Linked DNA regions of Drosophila melanogaster. The protein of the gene in region 2 interacts with the protein of the main gene of each other region in a pairwise test. Each region holds a gene or a part of one and is shown on either strand. Other genes may lie near its edges. The genes, in order: CG8677, CG3078 and CG13458.

What was found.
Region 1: the proteins of CG3078 (region 2) and CG8677 interact in a two-hybrid assay, tested with the Drosophila melanogaster proteins (one large-scale study listed by BioGRID).
Region 3: the proteins of CG3078 (region 2) and CG13458 interact in a two-hybrid assay, tested with the Drosophila melanogaster proteins (one large-scale study listed by BioGRID).

What each region holds. Positions count from the first base shown.
Region 1 is NT_033779.5:21,219,465-21,223,218, forward strand, and holds the start of CG8677 (uncharacterized protein), read left to right. Parts: upstream 1-1,847; 5' UTR 1,848-2,087; coding exon 2,088-2,322; intron 2,323-2,971; coding exon 2,972-3,153; intron 3,154-3,213; coding exon 3,214-3,663; intron 3,664-3,727; coding exon 3,728-3,754. Other genes in the region: Atg18b (Autophagy-related 18b), read right to left, coding at 796-833.
Region 2 is NC_004354.4:2,257,821-2,261,574, forward strand, and holds the start of CG3078 (uncharacterized protein), read right to left. Parts: upstream 2,044-3,754; 5' UTR 1,901-2,043; intron 922-1,900; 5' UTR 655-921; coding exon 508-654; intron 447-507; coding exon 60-446; intron 1-59. Other genes in the region: temp (tempura), read right to left, coding at 2,874-3,595, 3,646-3,754.
Region 3 is NT_037436.4:15,111,878-15,115,631, forward strand, and holds the start of CG13458 (uncharacterized protein), read left to right. Parts: upstream 1-1,679; 5' UTR 1,680-1,892; coding exon 1,893-2,406; intron 2,407-2,466; coding exon 2,467-2,624; intron 2,625-2,945; coding exon 2,946-3,090; intron 3,091-3,161; coding exon 3,162-3,569; intron 3,570-3,629; coding exon 3,630-3,754. Other genes in the region: Ctps (CTP synthase), read left to right, coding at 1-820.

The DNA.
Region 1 (3,754 bases), on a different chromosome or scaffold from region 2:
CCAATTGTTTGACTTGCGTTTTCGCGTACATTCACCCGTGCTTGATTTGTTACTGATTGGAAATCTCTCTTTTGCTTTGTTTGAGCTATGACAAATTTTTCAGATTATATTCTTTTCGATTCGATTTTCACCACAAATAGTCATATTGATGTTTGCGTTTCTTTCTAAGGCTTGCTCGCACTTCTTCCCTCACCCTGTTCTTGGATGACATCAACGTACCGTGCAATAGCGAAACTGGTTAATTAAGCTCGAGATTAAGGCTGCGTTGATAGCTACAGTGCGCTCCCGCCAGATTGACCCCCTTTGTTTCTTGTCATTTTATTTCATCCTTATCGCTCCGCACTTTCATTTGTTCCTTAGTCATCAGCTGTTGCGCATAAACAATTGATTGTGCGCCAATTGTGCGAGTGTTGGTGTCCCGCACAGTGGCCATCAGAATGGAAATACTGCTAAATCGGTCGCTTGTTGGCCACTGACAGTGTACCGAGTTCGGTTCCCAGCCCCCTCCCGAAACGGGAAAGGCATTCCAAAATGTTAGATGAATGCATGCTATTGTAATTGGAACTGCTTGTTTGCATGTTCTAATAAACTACACACACACACGACACGAAAAATGACGCCAATTCACGCTTACCCACAGACACACTAACGATCCCCGTCCACCTTCCCCACAGCAGCTGTTTTCGCCTTATTTACCCGTCTCATTTGTCGATTTTTGTGTCTCAATTGTTTGCCACTTTTCGCTTTGGTGACCTTCCGGGATTTAAGGATTTAAGCACAGATGTCGCTACTTACGTAAAGTCCTGGTTGAAGTTCATTTGATATGTGGTCATTGCTGCTGAAGATTTGTGCTTTGGTGATTGTATTTTTTTTATATAGTTACACTTTCACTGGTCTTTAGATGCTTTTTTTCAGCGATATTCAGTTGCAGAGTCCCGTCGTTTGAGTACACAAGATATTGATCGACGATGGCAGATGAGCAAAGCGAAATGATTTCACTTGATATTGAAAACTAAATTCGACTGTTTTGCGTCGTCTTTGTTGTTTTGCTGCGACTGTTTTTCTCGTTCTATCTATCAACAAATTCCCCCTACACACAACACACACACACATAAATCATCATCATTGGAACTGGGTTCGGGAACTGAACCAGCCGTGTTCACCAAATGCCATATATACCGTTAAATCATTTGTGTAACGGAAAATGTAAAATTGTTATTAAAAATTGAAATGGACAATATATATACATGTATCCGCATATATTTGCATTGGAAAAATCATAAAATTACCTCATATTTCACACAATTACAGTGCATTTAGTGTGTATATGTCAGTTTCATTTCTTTTTATATAAACATTAAAATAGTTTTTTCCAATAAGTATCTACAATTATCTAAGTGTTGTGTCAAATTTTCTATCAAATCGGAACAAAACAGTGGACGTGTTAAGCTTCTTATAAGGTTCTTCTGTCTTAGCAAAATTGTATTTCCCATAATGTATTTCCCTACTTCAACTTGATCTACACTAAAACTTTATACCTTTTGTTCCTAATTTATATTATAACCTATATTGTTCGTCGATTTAATAAATTTTGCATAGCCTATTTAATAGTAAAACAATTTTTAGATTTGTAACATTTAATACACATTTCATAGTCTAGCGCTAACTTAAAAATAAAACTGTCTTAACGCGAATCTGAGTAAGTTATAAATGTATTCGTAGTTTGTAAAAATCGTTTTCATGCATACGCCAAGTATACTAGAAACTAGTTCCCCAGTGCATCGACTGCCAACTCGCTTCAATTACATGGGTGCAATCTGCAGTATTGTCGAAAAGTGACTGCGCGGCCACACTGAAACTCACAACAGAAAATAAAGCATTTTCGCTTGCTTTAAAATAGGATTTTATCCCGTACAAGAGCTGTCTCGCGGCAAGAAATATGCACCCTCGAAGTCTCGCAGTGCCGTGCGACCAGAGAACTTGATCCTTGGACAAATGACTCGTGTTTGCAGTGCCCGTTTTGAGGTTTTGCCAGAGTAGTATACAACACCCGAAAATTTTCGCTGGTTCTCGGGGACGCATGAAAAATGGCGGCGTCCTCAGCTGCGGCTGCGGCGCCCACCAATCCGATCCCGCTTCCGACGGACTCCATATCGGAGGAGTGCAAGGACGACGACGCCCTCACCTCCACGCTGCACACATGCGCCAATGATCCGGACTTTGCGGTCATTTGCGCCTTCCTGCAAAAATTCGGCAAGGACCTGGGTCTTAACCTGCCCAACTTCAAGCATCTGCAGGAGTGGTTGACAAACAACAACGATGGTGAGAGGGTGGGGTGGTGGTATCAAGAGAGCGGGGTGGAAGCAGTTTTTTGCCAAATTAATTTATGTCAGGTTCAATTATCGTGGGGCAAGTGGCGGTGGAAACTACGGATGTAGTGTTTTCGAATAGGTCTGCTCCAGAGATTTAACAATGCTCCGCTCTGGAGAGCGTGCTTGGCTCGTCAGAGAGAAAGAGATTGCTCAATGGCAGAGAGAGCACTGCGATTTGTTTTCATCTCAACACAAGCGCAATATACAAAACAAATCTGGGAGAGACGTAAATATTTCCCACATTTGCTCTGGTCTTCTTATTTGAGAGATAGTAAGAGAGCTACAATTGAACACTAAAAGTTGGTTTTTTTTTTTTAATGTACACCTGCATCTGGAAATATATTAAATATTTAGGGTCACGAGTGGGAGGGAACCTGAAAATATATTTGTTTAAAAAAGTTATAATCATGCTAAGTTTCTACGTTTTGTATGTATTTGCGTGAGCAACAGCAGACACAAAAAGTGTACACTACAACAAACGCGGTTGCATTTATTTCACTTGCCCTCATAATCCACCCACAATCCATTTATATTCCGCTGTCACTTTCTTCCTTTTCGCAGAACTTTTACTAATATTTAATTATAACGAATCTTTGTAGTTCCTGAGCTAAGGGACTTGCACATAAAGCTGCTCCGTAAGACCCGTAAGACGGTTCACGAAAAGAGTTGGGAGTCCGCCCTCAGCAAATTCTGCTTCGGCTACTCGGTGCAAGATGCCTGGGAAATCGAACGTTTCGGTTATAGGAATTCCAGCTTGAAGGTTAAGCTGCGAATATTTCGGGTGAGTAACGAATTTCGTACCACTTGATAAACCGTTCTAAAGGGCGTCTTTCCCGTACAGGAACTTCTCGAAAGTCAGTTTGAACGCAATGCCAAGTTTCGGGCCCACATCCTCACCTTGAATGCCGATACTTTACGCTCTGAGCCAATTGGAAGGGACCGGTTGGGACATGCCTACTGGCTGACTCAGGATGCCCACTGTAATCTGCGGATCTACCAGGAGCATCTAGACGAGGAAATTTGGCAGGTGGTTGCCACGAACAGGGACGAGTTTGTAAATCTCATTTCAAGGCTGCGCGGAAATGAGGTGGTACTTCCTTCGAAGGACATTGGTGAGGCCGATGAGGACACCAGCAGCAGCAACAGTTGTCATCCCAAACCACCGCCCCCCGAACAGAAAGAAGAAGAGGACGATGAGGAAGTTGGAGATGAGCCCGAAAAAACTGTACCCAATCTAAAGATTAAACTCCGCTCTCCCGAGCAAGAGGATCAAAAGTCTAAAAAGGTTAAGGTGTGTATGGATTTAACCAAGGAGCTTTGCATTTTTAGATAAGATTTCATTCTCGGTCTTTCAGCCACTGCTCATTAGCCAGGCCAAACTT
Region 2 (3,754 bases):
ATTATATAAAGGCTTTTCACACAGAGGCGGACTTTTTATGTGTTCACCTGAGAACTCACCTCCATCATCTGCTCTTCCCAGACGTTCTGGGCTCCTCCTGAACTGCGGGTTCGAAGCACTCTGTGCCTGGTGGTCAGCGAATGGCGGTGCTGATGGTGCTGGTGCTGGTGCTGATGCTGGTGCTGATGCTGATGGTGGTGTGAGTGTGGGGCATACTTCTTGCCCAGTCCCAGCATCGCAAAGCCACTGGTGGCCACCGGAGCTCCCGAGCTGGTGGCCAATCCAGAAGCTGGGCCCACTGCCTGGTTCGGACCCTTTCCGCCAGTTGTCCCATTGCCACCGAGCAGCTCTCCGTTGCCTGTTGCAGTTCCTGAGGTGGCATTGAGGCTCAAGGATCCGCCACCAATCCCCAGACCAGCCATTATGTAAGCATTATACGACGATTGCTGAGTGGAGTAGAAAAATACATAAGTCGTAAGGAGGGGGGATCTACTCAGGCGATCTCACCTTGCGCTGCTGAGCAAACGCGGAGAGACGCTCCCGCTCGCGACTGGTGTCCCGAGCCCGCTGCTCCAGCAGAAGTTCGTACTCCCGTCGCTTCTCCCGCTTGCGCTCCGCCTCCTCCAGCTCGTGAAGATTCGGCAGACTGCCCATTTCCGGCGATTATTGCCAACTTATCAAAACCTAGCGCCCGTAGTGCGAGTTATGTGGATTGTGGGGCCACTGCGAATCCAGTACTGCCATCGCTCCAAAACGGCGAACTCATGCTGCTGCTCCACGGGCATCCCATTCCAATCCAGTCTGCAATTATTGTCCTTGCTGCGTAGGCGGGTTCATTGTCCGCCGCCGACCTGCCACGCCCCCAATTCCGCGTATAAGGCTGTGTCAAAACGCAAATATTGTTCTCCTGCAGCGGAATGACTGTGAAGTGGAAACAGGAAATGAAAAAGTTGCGAGGCCTGAACGGCAGCGCCATCTATCGGCTGCTTATCGAGTTGACACCTGCACCTGGAAACCGTTACTCGCACACACACACACATACACCTGGCCGTACGTGCACTGCATACTTATGTGGGCCATAGGCCCTACGTATGCGCACATGTTCTTTCCGTTGCCGTTACCGTTACTTACTCACTACATTCTGGCACATTCACTGGCACTCGCGGTCGCAAAAATAGGATGGTGGGAATAATAAGCTTCTAGGCTAGCTAATCCTAATCTGATTGAAGTCCTAAGGAAGTGGCACCTTAATGCTCACCAATTAGATTGAGTTTCCACTAGTAGGATTACTTGGCAACTCAATAATGTGCCTATTAGCCGCTGCTATTAGTGCAGCCGCGAGTATAGCTCCCTTGGCCGTAGGAACTTCGCACACACACCCCACCCCCCACACTGGCACAAAATCATCAGGTGTGTCCATTTTGTGTTATCTACACATGTGCAGCCGATGGTGCCCCAGGGTCAGGTATTCCGAGGTATATTTCCAGGACACGACGGGATGGTGCAGGACAAGATCCTGGGGATGCCCGGAGGGAACAGGTCCCGAAGACAATGGCACAGTACTTTGCAGCCCATAATCAACTCATAAACATCATAAACTAACCCCCACCCCTCACGAACACCACACACCCATGAAGTGAACTGCGATGGAGGCGTAGTTTTGGGCCCACGCCCCTTGGGCCAGGAAAAGTGGGTGGGAGTTATAAAAAATGCAAAGAGGGCGGATGGAAAACGAATATGAATATTTTAAAACCAAACAAAGACGGGCACAGAAAAGCGCACACACACTCTCGATGCAATGCTCCCTTGAAATCCTCTTGGCCTGTACACATGTATCCACAAACGGAACCCCGTTCAGCAAACTAAAAAAAAAAATCGAATAATATACTTTGTTTATTACTTTTGATTTCTCGGTTGACTGGAATGCACTTTTTTTCGACGAGTCGGAAACAAATTGTTTGTAAGCCTTCAAAGAAGCCAGCACTTTCGCCACTCAACACTCCACAAAACACCGCCGCACGCGAACTGCTCCAGAAACACACTGAAAAGCTGGTAGGGATTACGGCCTGGCGATTCTGAGTCCGCTGCTGAAATTGTTGTCATCTCAGGCCTTCGGCAGCATCTCGCACATCCCACCTCGCATCCCAGGCATGCGCAATCGATACTCGTTACCCCACAATCCCCAGTTCACTCGGGGAAGGGATGGGATGTCATGGCTGTGGCTGCACCGCCACAAAACGATACCATCCCATATTACAACTGCTCTGCGCAAAAGAAACCCCCATACAATGCATTTTGAGTGCTCATTACGGCCATTACCGAATCGATATTCTCGAAATGAACGAGCCGAACTGGCTCGACGTTCAAAACTGCATAAAAAAGGCGTCGTCTATGATTTGGATTTATTTAAAAACTAACTGCAATTGGCTAACAACAAACACGTGCATGGCATGGCGATAATCGGTTAAGTTTTACTTCTGAACAAAGGGCTAACAAATCGTGCCCGGATCAGATTAAGAACAGAAACGAACAGGTAACGCTAATAGATATCGAAATGCAATTGGCGGACCAGTGAGATCCGTTGTCATATCGGGCTAGTTGAACTTTGTCTTTGGATCGCACATTTATAGTAGAGTAGAATAGAGGCATTTCCGTTTCCAAATCCGTTTTGAATCGTCTTCCTTTCTAGTATTTTACTCTTTAACAATTTGTCTTGCACAAGTTTCTGTATTTTTGGGACGATAATTAGATAGGAAATAAAACACACGTCTTTATACACTTGCCACATTTCAGAACGGATGGGCAAACGGAAAGGCCGGGAGTGAGTAATTCTATTGGGGTAGATTGATTTGAGCTTTATCAGGTCGCGCTGTCTAGTCCGCTGGATATCCAAAGCTGAGGTGAAGATTGCACCACCGCCGGTGCTTACCACCCAGGGTGGACTCCTCGCGCCGTACGGCACTTAAAAACGGATTATCTTCAAAGTCAAAGTTGCCCAAATGCGAACGCAGATCGCCTGACGCCACTGGTAACAGTTGGCCATTGGGCAAGCCCATTTGCAGGCGCACGCACTGCTCCACGATGAACTTGAGTGCCGCACGGCGATGCAGCTCGAAGCAATCCCGCGATCCGTACATCAAGCGCTGCTCGGCACACAGACGCATATCGTTGGCGGCAACGTTGCAGCAGTAAAGAAATGATATTAGCCTTTGCTTGCTCACGGAACTCAGATCCACATGTGGTAGCAAGAGACCCAGCAGATCCTCAGCGTTGGCTTCACATTCCAGGCCATAGCTTGTCATTAGATGCTGCAGACTGGCCAACGTAGACGAACCACTGGCTCCGGAATCCTTGGGAAGGGCAAAACTGAGCTCATATGCACGACTCAGGAGCACTTGGCGGTAGTGGTAGCAGCTGTAGTCACTGATGTGCTTCCGCATAAACTTCTCCGTGCGTAGCAGTTCCGATTGCAGCAGGCATGGGCCGTTCTGAAGGATCCACTGGCGGTGCGACCAGGCGTGATAGTTGCTGGCGCATCTATCGGCGGCCCTTTCGCATATCCCGATCTCATTGGGCCAGTCAATAGCATCGGCACCTGGAAATAATGGAATGAAATGGGATCCCCAGTTGCCGACGTCCACTTACTTTGAAATGAGTACAGCCAACGGCGGTAGGCGAATGCTTCATTGGACTTCGGTTTGATTGAGAGCACGAGTGCGGAGAACTGCAGCTCCTTGTTGATGCTCAGCCGATT
Region 3 (3,754 bases), on a different chromosome or scaffold from region 2:
CAAGGAGTGGCAGAAGCTATGCGATAGCCATGGCATCCTAGTCCCCGGTGGATTCGGTTCCCGTGGAATGGAGGGCAAGATTCGTGCATGCCAATGGGCGCGAGAGAATCAAAAGCCATTGCTTGGCATCTGCTTGGGTCTGCAAGCGGCGGTCATTGAATTCGCACGAAATAAACTTGGTCTCAAGGATGCAAACACCACAGAAATCGATCCGAACACAGCTAATGCCTTGGTCATCGATATGCCAGAGCATCACACGGGTCAATTGGGCGGCACTATGCGCTTGGGCAAGCGAATAACTGTTTTCTCTGATGGTCCTAGTGTCATTCGCCAGTTGTATGGCAATCCGAAAAGCGTGCAGGAGCGTCATCGGCATCGTTACGAGGTTAATCCCAAATACGTGCATCTGCTGGAAGAGCAAGGCATGCGATTTGTGGGCACCGACGTCGACAAAACTAGGATGGAAATCATTGAGCTCAGCGGTCATCCCTACTTTGTTGCCACCCAATATCATCCAGAGTACTTGTCGCGGCCTCTGAAGCCGTCGCCTCCTTTCCTCGGCCTGATCCTGGCCTCAGTGGATCGATTGAACCAATATATTCAGCGCGGTTGCCGCCTGTCGCCCCGCCAGCTATCCGACGCATCCTCGGATGAGGAGGACAGTGTTGTGGGCTTGGCCGGAGCAACAAAATCGCTGAGCTCCTTGAAAATTCCCATTACACCCACAAATGGAATATCAAAAAGTTGCAATGGTAGCATAAGCACTTCCGACAGCGAAGGTGCCTGCGGAGGCGTTGATCCTACCAATGGCCATAAGTAAACTAGTGAACGGTATCTTATATCCTAAAGTGTTTAACATCCGATTATCAGACGTACTTTTGTTATCGCAAAACCCCAAAAGTTTGGGATAACTTAAGTATTACTGGGTGGGTATAATACGGTATTTGCGAATTGAAAATTTTGACCTTTTATGAAAGAGGCATTAATAATAAGAAACCCTTTATAATTTCTCCTAAGCTTAAGTAAACTACGATGTTACTTTCCGTACATTTTTAATTTATATGAAAATCTTAATTCATATATATTTTTTGGATGCGAAAAAAAAAATAACTAATGGAACAATTTCAAATGTTTGTGTTTTATTTTGAACTTAGCGGGCAGCAAGAACGGTATTGGAAATAGTGCGTGGAAAGTAAATGTGTGCTATTTCTCTCTTTTCAAATTGGGCGCGAAATTTCGAAATTGGAATTGAAACATGCTAAATAAGCTTATTTGTTTCCGAATTTATGGAAAAATCGCTTTTCAAGATATCCATACCAATTGTTATGATTTTGTTCACACATAAACTATTGGAATACTTTGAAAACAATTGTTGCTTCTATTTTTAACGACAGTTCCATCAATACTTTTTGGCAACTGATACCTTATTAAAAAACTGACTGTTTTTTCTAAATTCTTACAAATATATTAAGGGATTATGTATAATCCCTTTTCTGCCAAGAACTATATTTTTAAAGAGCACCACAGAGTGGACTTCAGTGTAATTTTCTGCTTGTTGACGCAATTAGTTGAGATAGGCAGAGAATTAATCAAACGCTGGTACTCGAGAATAATAATGGACGCTAGCCCATGCGAATTGAGATTCGTATGCGGGATGCGGATTCAGATACCGGCTGGCGTTGTCAGACATCGTCAGGCCCGTGCCCAACAAAAATAGCCAGGGCATACATTTGGGCTTGCGGCCGCGATGAGAAGCGATGGCTAGCGGCCAATTGAATCGAGGCGGACCGCAAGACTCCCAACCAAGAACAATGCGCATTCTTCATTGTTCGTTCAATTGAGCAACGTGCTCTGGCTAATTTTGCACTCGAAATAAGAGAAACGCAGCTAACATGATTCAGTCGGGGGTCCACAAAAAGAAGCCAAGGATTCGGAATCGCCAGCGCAACAAGATCAACCAGGTGCCACAGGATCAAGGGGAATCTCCAGACGCAATTGCGTCTTCACTCAAAAGTAATGGCTCAAAAGCGGCAAATGGTGTAGAAAGTAAACCTCCGGTGGAAAAGCCCTTACTTACAAGTGGAAATTCTCTGCTTGAATCATTATCAAAAATTGGTCAAGTGGAAAATCCGCAAGAGAACGATACAATCCGGCTGATACAGCAACTGTTACGTAGGAAATTATTGGCCAAAAATAGTGCTGTGCCATCCAGCGAAAATAAGCCATCAACTGATCCGGTCAAAATAGTTACCCAACCAAAGGAAATCAAAAGTGAAGAAAAGAAACCAAAGATTTCGAGTACCTCGGTTACTCCAAAACTCAAAACAGAAGCCAAGGCATCTGGAATTTCAAAAGAAGAGGAAATAAATGATCTACTCAAATGCTTGGGCAGCAAACTGCCAAAGGGTAATTAGATAATCATTAGGAAGTATATACAATTCAACATAACTAAAATATGCTTGATAGGATCTGGTGAATCCCCAGCAGCCGCGTTATTCAGCAATCTTGGAAAGCTTTTCAGCCAAGCGCCGCCCAGCGATGTCGAGTCATCCGATGAGGAAGTGGAGGAGTATGTGGAGTACATCTATAAGCCAAGGCAATATTTTATGGCCTCACTGTGCAATGTAGGTAGTATTCATTACAAACTGTGCTTAATTGCTGAAGGGACTATAGTTTAAAACTTCTACATTTGTATACCCTACACTCCTAAAGGAAAAGGGCATAATAGATTCGTTGAAAAGTATGTAACAGGTAAAATGGTTTCTTGCCAGTTTCTATCGATATGCTCATTAATGGTGGCATTCCCGCTAGATGAGTAATGGGTATCTGATAGTCGAGGAAGTTGGCTATAGCGTACTCTCCTATTTCTATATACAAATGTAAAGGGCGCATTAATAAGATTTTTTTACAATTTTATTTTACTAAGCCTTTTATAATACTTGCAGTTCTGCAAGTCGGATCTGTGCGGCCAGAATCGGATACCCTGCTCCCGCTGTGGACTGAGCTACTACTGCAGCAGTGGGCACATGAAAGACGACCAGGAGCACCGCCAGCTGTGCTACGCCCTGCGCCAGACGGTGGACCGCAATGGTGAGTGTCTTTCGGCGATTCACAAATTCATAAATCACACTAATTGCCAATTTTGGATGGGGCGGATGCAGGTCACGAGATGTTCTACAAGTGCGGCGACTTCAGTGACGAACAGTTCCGTTCCTTCCGGATCGTGTGCATTCGCCAGGTGGAGAAGGAGATGAATCGTCAGCTCAGCGCAACGGAGAGAGAGTTGCTCCTATTTCCACTGATCTGCGCCGACTCAAAGTGCCGGGAGCATCGCTTTAAACGTCTATCCATGTGCGGTGGATGTGGCGAGGTGGCTTTCTGCAAGGATAAGCCGGAGCACCGAGGCAAGGAGCACGCCAAGTGGTGTGGAGCCTATCAGATTTTCAAGGCCTTCATCATGTTTCAGGAACAGTTCGGCCGCATGGAGCCATCACTGCCCAGTAAGATTCTTAGAGAGCTGCCCATGGCTTGCTCCAACACCAAGCAGATGATGAAGAAGCTAAGCTTTAGTAAGTAAACACGAAGTATTCAAGGATTTTATTATAATGTATTATTATACTGATTTAAAGATGTTACCAATGAGTGTGAGTACGCAGCACTTACCCAGGTGTCCACTGGCCCATTAACTGCCTGGTTTGCCTTGAAACTTTGCGAGCGCCTCAGAAACTGCGAGGAGATGACTCTTCACTTAATT